Drosophila melanogaster: one gene and its partners. The protein of the gene in region 1 interacts with the protein of each later gene in a pairwise test. Each region holds a gene or a part of one and is shown in the gene's direction. Other genes may lie near its edges.

Evidence for each region.
Region 2: the proteins of ppk19 (region 1) and CG1275 interact in a two-hybrid assay, tested with the Drosophila melanogaster proteins (one large-scale study listed by BioGRID).
Region 3: the proteins of ppk19 (region 1) and CG7675 interact in a two-hybrid assay, tested with the Drosophila melanogaster proteins (one large-scale study listed by BioGRID).

What each region holds. Positions count from the first base shown.
Region 1 is NT_033777.3:29,670,894-29,674,723, forward strand, and holds ppk19 (pickpocket 19), read left to right. Parts: upstream 1-1,562; coding exon 1,563-2,381; intron 2,382-2,446; coding exon 2,447-2,599; intron 2,600-2,660; coding exon 2,661-2,790; intron 2,791-2,839; coding exon 2,840-3,029; intron 3,030-3,086; coding exon 3,087-3,330; downstream 3,331-3,830. Other genes in the region: Obp99a (Odorant-binding protein 99a), read left to right, coding at 823-861, 930-1,319; Bub3, read right to left, coding at 3,382-3,830. UniProt on the Drosophila melanogaster protein: Part of a complex that plays a role in tracheal liquid clearance. In both larvae and adults, contributes to the behavioral response to salt. Probable role in sodium transport.
Region 2 is NT_037436.4:2,252,189-2,259,394, reverse strand, and holds CG1275 (uncharacterized protein), read left to right. Parts: upstream 1-1,971; 5' UTR 1,972-2,283; intron 2,284-2,582; exon of another isoform or gene 2,583-2,773; coding exon of another isoform or gene 2,774-2,789; intron 2,790-3,384; exon of another isoform or gene 3,385-3,572; 5' UTR 3,573-3,582; coding exon 3,583-3,856; intron 3,857-5,408; coding exon 5,409-5,618; intron 5,619-5,702; coding exon 5,703-6,066; intron 6,067-6,123; coding exon 6,124-6,298; 3' UTR 6,299-6,651; downstream 6,652-7,206. Other genes in the region: oxt (peptide O-xylosyltransferase), read left to right, coding at 1-66; Elp5 (elongator complex protein 5), read right to left, coding at 722-815, 878-1,523, 1,593-1,641; CG32305 (uncharacterized protein), read right to left, coding at 6,666-7,147, 7,199-7,206.
Region 3 is NT_033777.3:18,377,569-18,382,943, reverse strand, and holds CG7675 (uncharacterized protein), read left to right. Parts: upstream 1-1,765; 5' UTR 1,766-1,912; intron 1,913-2,207; exon of another isoform or gene 2,208-2,325; intron 2,326-2,589; 5' UTR 2,590-2,590; coding exon 2,591-2,731; intron 2,732-3,579; coding exon 3,580-3,718; intron 3,719-3,976; coding exon 3,977-4,707; 3' UTR 4,708-4,820; downstream 4,821-5,375. Other genes in the region: CG14309 (uncharacterized protein), read left to right, coding at 1-995.

The sequences.
Region 1 (3,830 bases):
TACCAGCCATCGGCAGCTGGGTTCTCACGTTCCCACACTTACCTGTAACCGAAGCACACACAAATGCACCACTCACCTGGTTCTTGGGATGCGCACATAAACAAATCCAGAAAATAAAACGCATTCGGAGAGCTACCTGCATGGCAGTGGAAAATTTTCAGGTGCAGCTCCAACCAGACATAACAAAACTGTAGGCTTTCTTCAGAAAAAGAAATTGAATAAGAATATTGTTTTTAAGTCCCAGAAATCCATTTTCAATTTAGAAGTCTGTTTTTGTAACTTGAAACATTGAGTAAATAAATTCCTTATAGAGCACATACTTATATATGCCTTCAATAAAATGCCGAAAATAAATGTAATTGCAAGTATTTTTAATTTTCTGCACAGCGACTGTATTTTTTGCAGTGCACCCAAATATGCTGCGTTTGCTAAACGTGGGTATTAATCTGTTTTCAGCAACAACAAAAATAAGCGCGCCAATTTGCCAAAGATTAAAGGGGAGCTGTCTTATCAGCGACTGAGCCCATGGAGGTTATTAGAAGGCATCCATCCAGATTCCAGATTCTTTGTTGTCCACTTGTGCCCCCAAGCATAAAAGCCCATCACAAAAGAATCAGATGCCCAGCTTGGAGTTGAGCATAAAAATAAACTGGGGATCTACAAGCATAATCGCGCCTTGGAGACCCCTCAGGTACCAAGTCCATTCCCGAACTCAAATCGGATCCCTCGCTCTCGTATAAATAGGGGCTGCCTGGCCCTATTTCAAAACAGTCTTCGCTCGATCGCTGGAGGAATACATACATAGGTGGAAAGAAAGTGAAAATGAAGGTTTTCGTTGCCATCTGCGTGCTGATTGGACTGGTGAGTGCTCGATACAGATAAACGGCGACCAGGACCAGAATAATTCAACGCCTTCCCTTGGGTTATAGGCCTCCGCCGACTATGTGGTGAAGAACCGACACGACATGCTGGCCTACCGCGATGAGTGCGTCAAGGAGCTGGCCGTGCCCGTGGATCTGGTGGAGAAGTACCAGAAGTGGGAGTACCCCAACGACGCCAAGACCCAGTGCTACATCAAGTGCGTCTTCACCAAGTGGGGCCTGTTCGACGTCCAGAGCGGTTTCAACGTGGAGAACATCCACCAACAGCTGGTGGGCAACCACGCTGACCACAACGAGGCCTTCCACGCCTCCTTGGCCGCCTGCGTGGACAAGAACGAGCAGGGATCCAATGCCTGCGAGTGGGCCTACCGCGGAGCCACCTGTCTGCTGAAGGAGAACCTGGCCCAGATCCAGAAGAGCCTGGCCCCGAAGGCCTAGTGGCTTAGGTCCTAGTTGGACGGATGTAACGATAAGCATTAGTTTAGTTAATAAAGTAATTGATTTCCCATACAAGTTCGAGCATTCCTTCTCGATTCAGTGGGGAAAAACAGAATGTAGATATTTCTTCTTCAATGGGGGCCTCAATTTACTTATTAACAACTCCGAGTAGCAATTACATTGAGGATATGCTTTTAGGCAGCCAAACTAAACTAAAACTTTGGCCAACTACTTCCATTCGTCATGTTGCTGTACACCAAGGAACTTGTGATTCCGCGGCCGAGACCAGGACTACTGCGCTTCAGGAACAATCCGCGTGGTATTAAGTTTCGGGAAAAACTGTGCAACTCCTTTGCCCACTCCAACATCCATGGGATGCAGCACGTCTTCGGGGAGCAGCATCTCTGGCAGCGCTGCCTGTGGCTCGCCATCGTCCTGGGAGCGGTGATCACAGGATTCAGTCTGTACACCGTGCTGATGCATCGCCACAGCGAGCAGCTCCTGGTCAGCCTGATAGAGACCACCCAGTTGCCAGTGTACCACATCGACTTTCCAGCTGTGGCCGTTTGCCCCTGGAATCATTTCAACTGGCAGAGGGCTCCGTCGGCATTTATCCGCTTTCTGCCACGTCATCCGAATGCCGAGCTCCGGGAAACATTTCGCCAGCTACTCGCCAGTATGGACATTATGAACTTCTCCAACTTTAACCGGATACGGATTCTGACCAAACGAAATCTGACGGGAATTAGTTATCTAAAAATGACGGACCTGATGAACTTCATGACCTATAGATGCGATGAACTCTTCGTCGCCGATTCCTGCGTCTTCGATGAGACTCCCTACGACTGCTGCAAACTTTTCGTACGGGAGCAGACGGTGAAGGGCCAGTGCTTGGTCTTCAACTCCATGATTTCGGAGAACTCGCGCAAAAAGCACCTGATTAACCAGTTCTATCCCCACAAGCTGAGCACCGCTGGCGAGGATTCGGGCCTGAAGTTCACGATCAATGCAAGCTACTCCTTTATGAACAACATAGACGCTCTGACTCCATTTGGAATGAATGTAAGTCCCTTAGTTGCGTCACAGTTTGCTCATATTTTGTTTAATTTTATTTTTTGGTTACTAAGCTCATGATTAAGGAACCACGCCAGTGGTCCAATGAAATGATGTACCACCTGTACCCGGATACGGAGAACTTTGTTGCTGTGCATCCGCTGGTCACGGAAACCTCTCCAAATACCTATGAAATGAGTCCCAAAAAAAGACGTTGCTACTTTGATGTGTGTATAGCTTGCAACTAATAGGAAAAGATAATCATAATAATAATTCCTTACTCCATAGGATGAAAAGAACCCTACCTTCCAGAACACTTCGTTGACTTATAACCGCGAAAACTGCCTGGTGGTGTGCCTCCACTTAGTTGTGTGGAAGACCTGCCAGTGCTCGCTGCCAGCTTTTCTGCCTCCCATTGGTAATTATCGTAATTATTCTATTACATTTTAAATTTTTTTTTTTTTTAGATGGAGTTCCGGAATGTGGAATCAACGATGCACAATGCTTGGGCAACAATTCCGATATATTCACTTACGTGAAGATGGGTGATCAGGAGAAATACATTAACGACTCACGACAGGGTCACTTTTGTGATTGCCCAGACAATTGCAATTCACGGCTGTACGAAATGTCACTTAATGTGCGCAAATTGGATTAGTAAGTTCAATGTATATATTCTTAAAGAACAGATAATTAAATTCCCCTCTCTTTTAGCCCAAAAAACTCGACAGATCAATTGATAAAAGCCCAGGTTTATTATGGCCAACGTGTCATGACCAAAATCATTACGAAACTCAAGTACACCAATATAGATTTACTGGCCAACTTTGGCGGGATCATAAGTCTGTATATAGGGGCCTCCGTCATGAGTTTTATAGAGCTTTTATTTGTGCTGGGAAAACTGATGTGGGGTTTCATCAGAGATGCGCGCATAAAATTGAAAGAGTATACTAAGTAGCTTACTTTAAAAAATGATGTAAAACTTTGCCGTAAACAAGTATATATAACATTATTTCTGTTTAGTTTCCTGGTCCGTGGGATAGCGTATATAGATAGCCGGATGTGGCACTGTAGCCGGCGTCTCTGGCAGTTGGTCCAAGTAGGAGCAGCCGATGGCCAGGGCGCTGCCATCGGAGCTGAAGTTGAGCGTGGATATGGAGGTATCGTATTCGTGGAACTGACAAAGGCGCTTCTTGTTGAAGCCATCCCAAATGTTCACAATGCCATCGGATCCGCCAGTGGCGAACGTCTGATAGACATTGTGGAAACTCAAGGCATTAACGGGGTAGATCTGTTCGATATTCTGCTCCCTATTCCGGTGGCACTTGAAAGCGAACTTGCGGCGCTGCACCTCAGGATCGTGATCCAGGTACTCCACTGCCACCCGTCCCTCGATGGAGGACATCACGTAGCCTTCTTTGTTGGGGAATAGACGAATGCAGCGGGTCTGGTACTTGA
Region 2 (7,206 bases), on another chromosome or scaffold:
AGCGATGCGCCCTGGAGCTCACTGGCACCCGACCCCAAGAGCGATGTGGATGCCCTGCTCAAATGAGCCATTGCCATGCATTAATTTGTTATTAATTCTCTAGTGTAAATACTCGCCAAGATTTAGATGTCGAACCGCAATTAACGATTTTTTGATAGCTCCTTTTTCTTCTCGATGTTTTCGTATAGATTGTTGTGATAATGTGAACTTTTAAGCGCCATTTTGACCGGAAGCGGAACTCCGCCGCTCCAATTGTATTTGATTTTCATATCAATAGAGCATAGTAGCACTTTGGAACTAGTTAAGTTAGTTAGGTTGAACGCCTTGTAAATACGCCACGCACTGGACACCAAAAGATCGCATTGCAGCCAAATATCGTGGAGGTAATCGAGAGTTAACTGTACATAAGGTTAGCTAGATGAAATTCCTTAACTAAGTCATAAGCTAGGGCACCACCAGATAGCAATTGAATCAGTTGTATGTATTCACAAGTTTCTTCGATTTTTTGATTCACATATCAAGTTATCCAAAATAAATGAGCAATTCTACGTGTACTAAGTGGTCGTTCAAAGATTCATTCTGCTCCTCTGGCGAGGTTGAACACACCCCTAGGCGGAACTTTGGGGCCGGAATTCCAGGTATTTTATGGTTTTAGTAGGTTAGACTTAAGGAGACTTAAAGCCAAGGCTATTTGTACTGCCGTTCGCTGCTGGCGGGCAGCCTAGATGCACAGATCCTCGTCCGGATCCTCCTCGTCGAAATCGTCGTCGGCATCGGGCGTGTATATTATGTTTCCCTCAGACGGCTCGGATGTGCTATCATATATACGAACATATCAATAAGGAGATGTAACGCATAGAGAATGGTTACCACTCACCGTTCGTATGGCAGGGTGAGTGCATTGCGGGCCAACACTTCATCCTCGTCAAGCTCGATTTTGAAGGTGCTGCTGGCCGGCTCTGTGGTCTGCTCCGCCTCGGGCGAGGGCTGCTTGGGGGAGGCACCTGCAGGCAGTCCTCCGTCCAGCGGCGTCACCTTGAACTGGGTTTTGCTGACTTCGCAGGAGTAGCGCCTGTTGGACACCCCTCCGCCCGGCTTGCGTGATATCAGCGAGAGTAGTTTGTCCGATTCCAGTCGGAGGACCAGCTCGGCCAGGTACTCGCAGCCAGCCAGGATGTAGTCGGCATGCGGATCCTGCAGGTGCTGCGGGGAGGCCCAAAGGAAAACCCGACGCACATTGTCCGAGCGGCGTAGGCGGTTGAGGAAGCCAAATATGAAAGCAGGCGTCTGGTAGCACAGCAGGTCTGCCAATGTTGGCAGGATGACGTTAAAGCCAGTGGAGTTGGAATCCGTAGTACTCCCAGTGTTGTTGTTGGCGTACTTGTCGATCAGTGCCTCGAAGGTGGCCACGTGCTTAAGGCTGACGCCGGTGGGCAGGGCCTTGATGGTATCCGCCCCCTGTCCCTGCTCGTGCAGCAGACTGCCGATGAACTTGGGGGCAATGCGCTCCCGATTTAGCTCATCTGTGGATGAGGCGGGAGATTGGTGGTCGCATTATTTGGCAGACGATGGGGTAGTCAGTGTGTACTCACCTATTACGAGGACCACTTTCTGCTTGGTCACCACCAGGTTGGAGAGCATTTTGTTAGCATTTATTGTGGGACTACCTAAATATTATTTTAAATTGAAGCTTTTTGTTGGAGCTGCCAGTGCTGCCGAGCTAAAGGCGTTAGCGTGTTTCAGTCGTGCTCAATGGGCCACACTGGCGGCATAAGGGAATCCAGGGTCTCGAAGTAAATGTTTTCCAAGCTCTAGTTAAATATGAATATAAAGTTTGTAAATTTTTAAAATTAAAACTCACACAGTCAGTACTTTCTATCATCATGTGAACGTATATTAAATGCACACTATTTTTTCAGCACACGCAGCTACAGTATGATTCTCGCATCCCTGGTTGTCCCGCTTTTTTCCAAATGAGTAAACAGAAAATCGAAGCGGTTAACAGATCGAGTTACAGTTTAAAACCCTTTGATAGTGAAAGTTTGACCGTGTCCTTGACTTGCTGTACTAAATTAAGTATCAATGAATGTGCCGCTTTAAGTTTAACTTGTTAATAATAATGCTGACGTAGTAAATTCGCACAGCATTCCGCTCTCTTATGCTGCCAAATTATCTCTTTGTGTTTGTGCCGTTTCTGTTTGTGTTCTTGCCTCTTCCGTTGAAGACATTTTGGAAATATTCCAAACAAAACACATTATTGGATTACTGATTCATTTCAAATCTGTAAGTTTACCTGTTTCTATTTCAACTACGTCTTTAAATGTAGTTTACAAACAGTTATAATTTGGTTGTGGCTTTCCATTAATATAATATCCAACAAGTGGTTTTTCTACAGTGGTGTGAGCCCGAAAGTTTGTTTGCATGTGTGCTTCGGCGTTTACAGTTCTGAGCTTCCAACGAAAAGCTCGTGGAAATGCCAAATGAAATGGCCAAGTGCGGCAGAGTGGGCGGGGCTTTAGGGCTTTCACGCCCACGCAGCCTGTGCAGAATTTCCACGGCTTTTCCTCCATATGGAAGGCCCAGCTTCCTGCATTTTAAGCAGTTTGTTCAACAAGTAGAGTAAAGTGCGTGGCAGTAGCCACGAAAATCAGAAGTAATCGCGAAAAACCCATCGTCATCGCTTTAAAGTCACTAATTGCTGCTAAAGATAAGAGCAGGCGGTATTGAAACAGGCATTATCTGAGCAGAGTGAAGCATCAATCAAGTATACGCCATGTTGTTCTCACTGGGTGAGTTGAAGTGCACATACAGTCATTATTGCACAGCATGAACTTAAGCTCTTTAAGAGGGAAAGCTACTTGTTGTCCTTAAAGGTTTCACTTTACTGTAGATGTACTTTCGAAACTAAGAACAATATTGAAATAGTTGTTACTAACAAATTTTACCCAAAAACTTTTTGTAAACCCTTTTACGTTTTGGATTCCACTCCTTCTGGCAAAAAGTAGTTCCAATTGAAGCAGTTCCACTGCACCATCCCATTACTATGCACAGAACATCAAAGTCAAAGTCGCAATTGAAATGCCGCGCAGTGACAATGGTTTGAATAGATCCGAGGAATGCGAAATGCAAATAATCATCAATGCACCCCCTTCCCAACCAGAAGCGATCGACCTGGTCCGGCATACTAACCAGCATTCGTTGGCACCCAAAGCCAAAGGCAAAGTCAAAAGCAAACCCAACCCCACTGGAATCCTATCCGCATCGAGAACCAAACAATTATCCACACCGAAATGAGCAATATGTGTGTGCGATGTCGCATGCGAGAGATTTGCGAGCGGAAAAAGCTTTTCCTAACCATCGCCGGGCGGCGGCTGGAAAACTTTAAATTCAGTTGCGCATTGCACGCCGAAGTGTTCGGTTGTATTAACGGGGTGTCGTGCGGATTAGTTACTAGTAGTTAGTTACTAGCATTTACCAGTGTTTTTGTGCTGTGTCTTAGGGCAATTAACACCGTCCATTATACGTTGCATGTCTTTTTGTGGTTGAACCATTGGTGAATTATTGATTTAAAGTGCACAGACCATGTCGAAGGACGCGGACGTGGAGCAGGCGACCAAGCCGGAGAGCGGAGTTGTCCAGGTGGAGCCAGCGATTCCGGAGCAGCCACAGGCCGCCGTTCCGACCACCATCTCCACGGCGACCACAGTGATCGCGGTGACTAATGGGGAAAAGCCAGCGGCAGCGACACCAGCAACAACTGCAACACCTGCGACAGCAGAACAAGTGCAACCTGCAACAACCATCGCTGGCATTGAGTTGGCCACTCCAACGGCGGCGGCAACTTCACCACCAACAGGTAGACTGTGCATGGCATTGGATTTTGGCTGCAAGTTTGATTAGTGCCAAGTAAAATAAACCAACAAGCCGAGTGTTTAGTTATAGTAAAAGTTAAAGCAAAACGCACCGAAAGACAGACTGCAGCCGTCCCCTTTCCCCGCCGCGGTTTTCACCATCACCATCGGCATCACGATCCGCGATCAGCAAGCAGCCACTAGTAACCAGTAACCAGTAACCAGCTGAATTTCACTTTGGTTTTCCAGACTTTATTTATTTTGCTCCGCTGTCTTCGGACTTGTACGCTTTTCCAAATTCATCCAAAGTCATCTGCCCGGGTTTTACTTTCGGTCTTTTGGTGCGCCTATGTGGATTGTTTATTTCAAATTTTGCGCACGATCTGCTGCAACGCTTTGCTGGTCAGCGTCTTTGGCACGCCCACTTAACCCTAATAATTAACAGTCATAGTCACAGCTAATGTGCCAATTAATTTCACTCGGAACCCAGAGCTGCGTCGAAATGGAGCACTCCAACTGGAGCCCATTGAGTAACCGGGGACGCGTGGCTGCTGCCAGTTACCAGCATTTATAATTGCGATTGCCAGCTACAAGTGTCTCCGGCGCACTTATCAGCCAATTTACAAGCCAACACTTGGCAGTTTGGCTCATTTGCTTATTATTCGCCCGAGTCGAAATTAAAACACCATTTGCATACCAAACGCCAATTAGGGCGGCTGATAGCGGCCCTTATCGAGTGCATCTGCACCTACAAGTTTACTAGCCTTTTAAACTATCTTAGTCAAGTCCAATCTATACTATACCAAACTATGAACACGGCTACTTTCACTACCCGTACGTTCCGTAAAATGAATCGAACTTTAATTTATTTAATGTATCATGCTGCAACATCAAGCACGAGGAACTTGTACGATGCTATTTAAAGCGATTTAATATCAGATGTTCGGACTATCTGGAGAACATACTGATAAGGCGACAGATAAAGTGGGCAGAACGCTCTGGCGTTGAAAATTAATGTTGGGTAAACAAGCGCAAATGTTTACGCATGAATTAGCCAAATTACGCCTGGTGAGTGGCCGGCGAAAGGGGTCGTGGGTGTGTCCCAGTGCCTGGGAACAGGCCGTTCCCATTAACTCAGGGCCCAGTCGATATGATGAGATCTTGTTTATCGCAGTATCGGATGGCTGGCGGCAAAGGAACTGTTTGTTTACCCAACGAGTGCAGCTGCCATCGAAGCGGATCAGATGTACAACTGTTAAAGTGGGTTTTTGGGAAGCCTATTGGCTCCCTAAACTTCTGGTCGCATGTTATCAGCAAGTGCTTGGGGGTTATTTTAATCTGCGGGCAGGTGGAACATGTAATTGAATCATGTTTACGTAGCAGAGGCTATAAACCAAAAGTATGGAAAATATAAACGAGTGCTTGAGATCCCCTTCCCCTTTCGATGCCCCGATATCTCTACCCTTGAATGAGTTATGCGATTAGATCGCCAATGCGTGCTGTGCGTAAAATGGCCTCTATTTTTAGCTCATCCCCAGCTTTTATTGGATTTTTCAGGCAGCGGCAAGGCCAACATGGATCCAGCGCTGATCAACTTTAAGGTGCTCTATGTGCTCACCCAGCTGTGCGGCCTGACCATGATCGTCCTGGTGGCCACCTGGATTGGCCAGCACTTCGGCGGTCTGGCCGGCACCTCAAATCCCGGCGTGGAGTTCAACTGGCATCCGCTGTTCATGACCATTGGCTTCATTTACCTGTATGGCAACTGTGAGTAAATGCAGCGGAAGAGGTGCCACGCCACTCCCATTGACTAGCTTCGAAATGGTAATCCAACTCAATTCAATCCCACAGCCATTCTGATCTATCGTGGTTTCCGCACCACGCGCAAGAAGACTCTGAAGCTTACCCACGCCGGCATCCACATGGGTGCATTCATTCTGACGGTGATTGCCCTGAAGACGGTCTTCGATTCCCACAACTTGGCCAATCCGCCCATTCCCAACATGTACTCCCTGCACTCTTGGCTGGGGCTCTCCGCGGTGATCGTCTTCTCGCTGCAGTATGTGGCCGGATTTGTGGCCTTTTTGGCGCCGGGGTTGAGGGAGAACTACAGGATCGCCATGATGCCGCTGCACATCTACTTCGGACTCTTTGGATTCGTTCTGGCTATTGCTAGTGCCCTGATGGGCATAACCGAGAAGGCCATCTTCGCCATGTAGGTGTATATGCATTCTAGATCGATCACTTGACTAATCCATGACGACATTTCTAGCAAAACTCCGGCTTACTCCACTCTTCCACCGGCTGGTGTGTTGGCCAATGTGATTGGAGTAATGTACGTGGTCTTCGGGGCGCTGGTTGTCTACCTAGCCACTGAGCCCTCCTACAAGCGGAAGCCCATTCCCGAGGACACGGCTCTGCTGAACTCCAGTTCTGTCAACGAGTAAGGGCTATGCCCATGCCCCAAATCAACTGCAATGCTTACTTAAGCTAAAAACTGTGCACAAAACCAAACGAAACCGAACCTGATCACACGGATGGTGCTTTCTTAGTGATGGAGATGGAGATTCGTCAAGATGAGTGTATTATCTGTAGCATGTACATAACCTAACGACTATGTATGACTCTGAATTATGAACATACGTATACTTTGGTCACCAGTTGTGCAATGATTTCAGCGAGTGCTCAAATCATAACGTATTTAACCTCAAGAAAAACATTTGCTTTGAACTGTACGAATACATCTATATATGTGTGTTATATATGCTTAAATAAATATATATATATATATATATCTATTAAAATAAATTTAAATTAATGAAGGTTCCCGGCCAGAAAGATGCCTCCCTTTTGGCGCTCATGTATCGAGACCTCCAGTTCATCGCCTTCAGATACATTTTCCTCGAGCTCTCCTTCAGCCTCCTCTTCATCCGAAGTGGAAGACTTTGGGGGCACGAAGCTCGGGGTGAATGACAGTGAAAGAGTGTCGATGACCCAGCTTTTTGAGTCCTTCATACTCATGCTCACTTGGTCGTGATCTTGGAATGTGAGATCCGGGTCTACGACCACCAGGTAGGTGGGCACCTTGCCCACTCCCTTTACCTCCGTGTGCCCTCGGTAGTTGCAGCGGATGTTAAATTGTCGCAGCACCTTTGCCGTGTGCCGAGTTACTTGGATGTTGTCCAGCAATCCAGTGGAGGACATCCGGGAGGCCATATTGACGGTATGACCCCAGATATCATAGTGTGGTTTCGAGAGTCCAACAACGCCGGCCATCACGGATCCATGGGAGATGCCTTAGATATCATTGGATGGATTAGGATAACGGTGAAGGTAATGCAGCCCACCTATCTTC
Region 3 (5,375 bases), about 11 Mb from region 1:
GGGAGGTACCCAAAAAGCGCAGGACCAAGTCCAAGAGTCAGCTAAAGATCATTCAAAGGGAGGACAAAGAGGATGAACAGGAGCAGGAACCGGAGCAAACAGAAGGGCGTCCCAAGTTGCGTCTACTGCCCACGGAATTCTTTGAGGCCCTACCAGCTCCCAAGCAGAACAAGCGATTAAATCTGGGAGCCACCTTGAACTCACTGCTATTTCCGGAACCCTTCTCCAGCAAGGCCACCATGGCCAAGGCTAGTCTGTCCCAAAAACCCAAGTCTGTTGAAGAGTCCGAGCCCGAGGAGGATGTGCAACCGGTGCCAAGTGCTAGAAGGCGTCACTCCAGGCTAGGTCACGTGGCCAACGACTTTTTGCAGGCCCAAAAAGAGCTTGGAAAGCATTTCCTCAGCCACATCAACGAGCATGAACACGAGTTTTCTCTAGGAGATGAGGGCATGCGGGAAAGTTCCCTGGAGTCGGCGAATGTCGGTAGGAAGTCCCTCATACAGGATCATTTTGAGGGAAAGAAGGCAACGCCTACTCTTCATTCGAAATTGCCTCAAAAGCCAGCCGATGAGGGTATCACTTCCTGGTGGGATTTACCAGCTATGAGAAGGCGGCGTGCCGTACTTAACACTAATTCCCTGGCTGAACTGCCCTCCAATGCCATAGACAAGGCAGATCGCGATGAGATGATGCCGCTGGGAAGGTACACCTACTACGAGTACAAGATGGATCACGAGGCAGAGAAGGATGCCAGCCAGCCCAGGGAGGAAAAGGAATCCAAGATCATGAGGATCAGCAGCAAGAATTCGCTGGCCTCTGGTCGTAGTCTGACTAAACTCTCCGAAAGCCTCGTGAGCACTATGAAATCAAAGGTATCTCGCTTCATCAACATCATATCCAACCATATGAACGAATGGTACAACACCTTAACCAAGCACTTGGAAACGGATGCGGAAACCCAACCACCCCGCCGACAAAACAGCATTGAGAAGTAGAATGACTTATATTACCATATGACCTTGTTTAAACTGCCAGCATTATAACCGAATGTAAATATATATTTATTTTCAAACATTACTGCATTCAAAGGAATTATATTTGAGCGATAATTCTAAGGGAATTATATTTTTCAAATAAAGCTATATACAGGACTAAGGCAACGAACTAGACGGGCTTAGACTAAGCTTGTGGTAGATTGTTGAGCATTCTTTATTGTACTTGTGAATATGTCATCTCTATAATAAAATGCATTGAATTGAAAAGAATGTTGATATATTTCAGTGGTATCTCGGTTAATGATATATGAAATGAAAAATAAAATAGATTTTTATCTGACATGTTTATACAATTACCCGTAGTACTTCAAATAGTAATAAAGTCTTGGTCATTAAAAAAGTTAATTACTATCCATTATTATTTTCTACATTATTTCAAGCTCATCATTCGAGCTGCATAACTAGAAAAGAAGCTTTGCGAAGCCCCCGACAGGTGGCTTTCTAGACACACTTTCTTGGAATCCACTACCCAGATCTTTCTCTTACCGCTGGTAACTATGTATTATAGTTTGGCTCCACTCTGTGCTCGCTCTTTCGCTGCGAGTGAACCGTTCATGAAGACGATCCCAAAGAGGAGCCCGGAAAGCCGCTTGGCTAACCTGTTACCATGGCTATAAGTGCAATAACAAAATCACCGCGACCACGGCAATACCAAACCGGTGGAGACGATCGCGCATTCTCCGCAGCCTCGGCTTTATAATCGGAATTCCGACTTCAGTCTCCGATTAGTCGTTCAAGGCGAAGGTTGTGGCACTAGCTCTTGGATCCACCAATTCCATTTCGCAGCGCAGATATAGTCCAAAGTGCAGGTCAGCAGAAGTTGGAATAAATTATAGATCAGCCAACAGCCAAAACAGGTGAGTTTGCACTAAAAAACTCGTCTCCGACTGGCAAAAGTTGAGGAACAAAACCCAAAAACGGGTCACTTCTAGACTTTTTCATACATCTATAGATCTTGTTTCTTTTCGAGACTGCATTGTAGGGCGTGGTTCGGTTGGGGGGGTTCTTAAATGGTGCATGCAAGCGTAACCAGAGCCAGTCTTCGAGTCTTGAGGAAAGCTCTTGGAAATCTTTGTGACGTGGACGGTGGGGGAAAAAAAAAACAAACAGAGAAGAAAAAACCAGAAACTCAAAACGACATGAAACTTCAGACTTTCTTTCTTGTTCAACCTTCTTTCGTTTGGGCTGTCAATGAACTTGGTTGAATGTTATTTTTTTCGGCGTTTCATCATAATAAGCCATAATTACGCACATGTGTGAAAGTGAAAGTGTAAGTTTTCTCAACAGTTTTCGAAATTGATTTATTGACAGTCACTGATAAACGATTTGAATTGTGAAAACCTTCGCCGACTAACCAATATCCCCAAAACCATGAAACCCCAAAACCCAAAACCAAACTCGTTTCGTTATGCCCTAAGACAATCGTCTGGCTTTGGCAGCTTCGGTTATTATATAATCTGATTTGCATGTTGACACCGATATATACGTATATGAAGATACAATATATAGTATACACACCTCGGCATATTTGTAGGATGGGTTTCATCTTCGGTTGGCTGTCGACCGAGCACTATGTGCGCGACATCTTCCTCATGACTTCAGTGGCCGCCATAGTGGCCACCCTGATGAGCATTCGGTTCTATCTGCGCATCACGGCGGGACGATGTTTCACCGAGGTAACGAACGCACCTCACCCAATCCAAAAAACCAAGTCCCATGCTCCCCAGAATCGCGACACGACTCGAATATTTCGCACTTTATATGGCTGTTGCTCCCACTTCCGCTGCGAATTCTTTTCAGATCTTGTAGATGAGCTGTCATATACATACAAATGATGGTGGGATAGTTTACTAAAACAGTATTCGGACACGACCTTAAGCTTATTAATCGCTCAAAACTTTTACAAATTTTATATATTCATATAAATGCGAACTATTCAGATAAACATTACAGATCCATAATTGAAAATGGTTCAGCTTACCGCTCTATAGAAAACTACATATATCACTATCTGGAAAAACCCCATATAATTAAAACGATTCTGTAGCATTCCAAGCATTCCGACTATGGAAATCTTTTAACTATATATGAAATCACCACTAGGAAAACTTAACGTGTTTCAATCTTGTTATTACATTGGTCAGTTGTGACGCGTCGACTTAATTACAGATTAAATTAGATACCTTCTGAGAGGCGAGGTACGTCACATCTCTGAGCTACGATTACCACCTGACCGAACATTGTTCGTATCCCACAAAACATCTAAGCTTCTGGGTATCTCGGTTACAATCTGTGAGATCGCTTACCTCTGATTCACAGAAAGCTCTCAGCACTCGAATGGCAATTAAGCGACCCGTTAATGGGTCTGAAAACTAAGATAGCTTCCGTTCCAGACGAACTGCGATTACTGTGACTGTGAACAAGCGCCAACTAATTAGTATTGTAAACATATTTTCGAACCGCCCTCGTCCAATTTTCGATTGCAGCGCCGTATTAAATGATTAACCTTCGACATTGATTACAGACAAAGATGGAGGGCAAGACAGTCATTATCACAGGCGCCAACAGCGGAATTGGCAAGGAGACGGCCAAGGATCTGGCTGGACGTGGAGCCCGCATCATCATGGCCTGCAGGAACCTGGAGACTGCCAATGCAGTGAAGGGTAAGTGGACCAAGACAATGCCTATGAGGTTATGCCAAGGATCTGGCAGGACATGCAACACGGTCAAATTCCGATAACTGGTCTCATCCAGTTGATTATAGACTCTGGCAAAAACTGCTTACTACCAATGATCTTTTTTTATTAAATATTTACGTTGTAATTACTTTAAAGAAAGTATCTTATAATATGTTGGCGTTGCATTAACCATGTTTTTTTTTACATAACCGAATTTTGTAATTTATTGTTGATTTCCCACAGATGAGATCGTCAAGGAGACGAAGAACAACAAGATCCTAGTCAAGAAACTGGATCTGGGCTCCCAGAAGTCCGTCCGTGAGTTCGCCGCTGACATTGTGAAGACCGAGCCCAAGATCGATGTGCTTATCCACAATGCCGGCATGGCTCTGGCCTTCCGCGGACAGACGAGTGAGGATGGCGTGGAGCTGACCATGGCCACCAATCACTATGGACCCTTCCTGCTGACGCATCTGCTCATCGATGTACTAAAGAAGAGCGCGCCGGCTCGCATAGTCATCGTAGCCTCGGAGCTGTACCGCCTGTCGTCGGTTAACCTGGCCAAGCTCAATCCCATCGGCACTTTCCCGGCTGCCTACTTATACTATGTGTCCAAGTTTGCGAACATCTACTTTGCCCGGGAGCTGGCCAAGCGGCTGGAGGGCACCAAGGTTACAGTGAATTTCCTGCATCCCGGCATGATCGACTCGGGCATTTGGCGTAACGTTCCCTTCCCCCTCAACTTGCCCATGATGGCCATCACCAAGGGATTCTTCAAGACCACCAAGGCCGGCGCCCAGACCACTATCTATTTGGCCACATCCAATGAGGTGGCCAATGTGTCTGGAAAGTACTTCATGGACTGCAAGGAGGCCACCCTTAATGCTGCTGCCCTCGATGAGGAGAAGGGTCTCAAGATCTGGGAGGAGTCCGTGAAGATTGTCAAGCTTACGCCCCAGGATCCCAAAATCTAGACGGGTGTCTGCGGCTGAGAGCCAACGCACAATTTACTGATTTACTTTTCTTGTTTTTAAGGGGGAGTTTACTGTAGCCTAAGTTTTCTCAATAAAAATGATTTTGTATAATTAAATGTGGCTCGTTTTCAATATGATATATTTGCTGTCAGAAAAAAAAGCACATCAAATTTCTGACTATATATAATATATTACAAAGATCTTGGTTGTTATATCGGTTGCTCGTGAGTAAAAGGGTATACTAGAATCAAGACTAGAATATAGTCTGGATCAAGATCAATAGCCGAGTCGATCTGGCCATGTTCCTCTGTCCGTCTGAATGTCGAGATCTCAGGAACTTTAAAAGCTAGAAGGTTGTGATGCAGCATACAGATTCTAGATACATAGACACAGCGCATTCACACTAACTGAGCAACGGGTATCTGTTAGTCGGGGAACTCGACTTCTTATTGGCACAGGATTTCGGCTTGGATTTGCAAGGGGACCGTTTTTGTATTACATGTAATATATATTGACAGTCACTCGATAAATCTTTTGCTAGGTAACTAGATATGACAATTCTGACAAGTTTTGAACTTTTCAACTTATTGCTTCTCGTTATTTATTTTGTAGCTGCAGCTTCTTAGTCAAATGATCTTTAAAAAAGTTCTTCTAGGTATTGAGATATG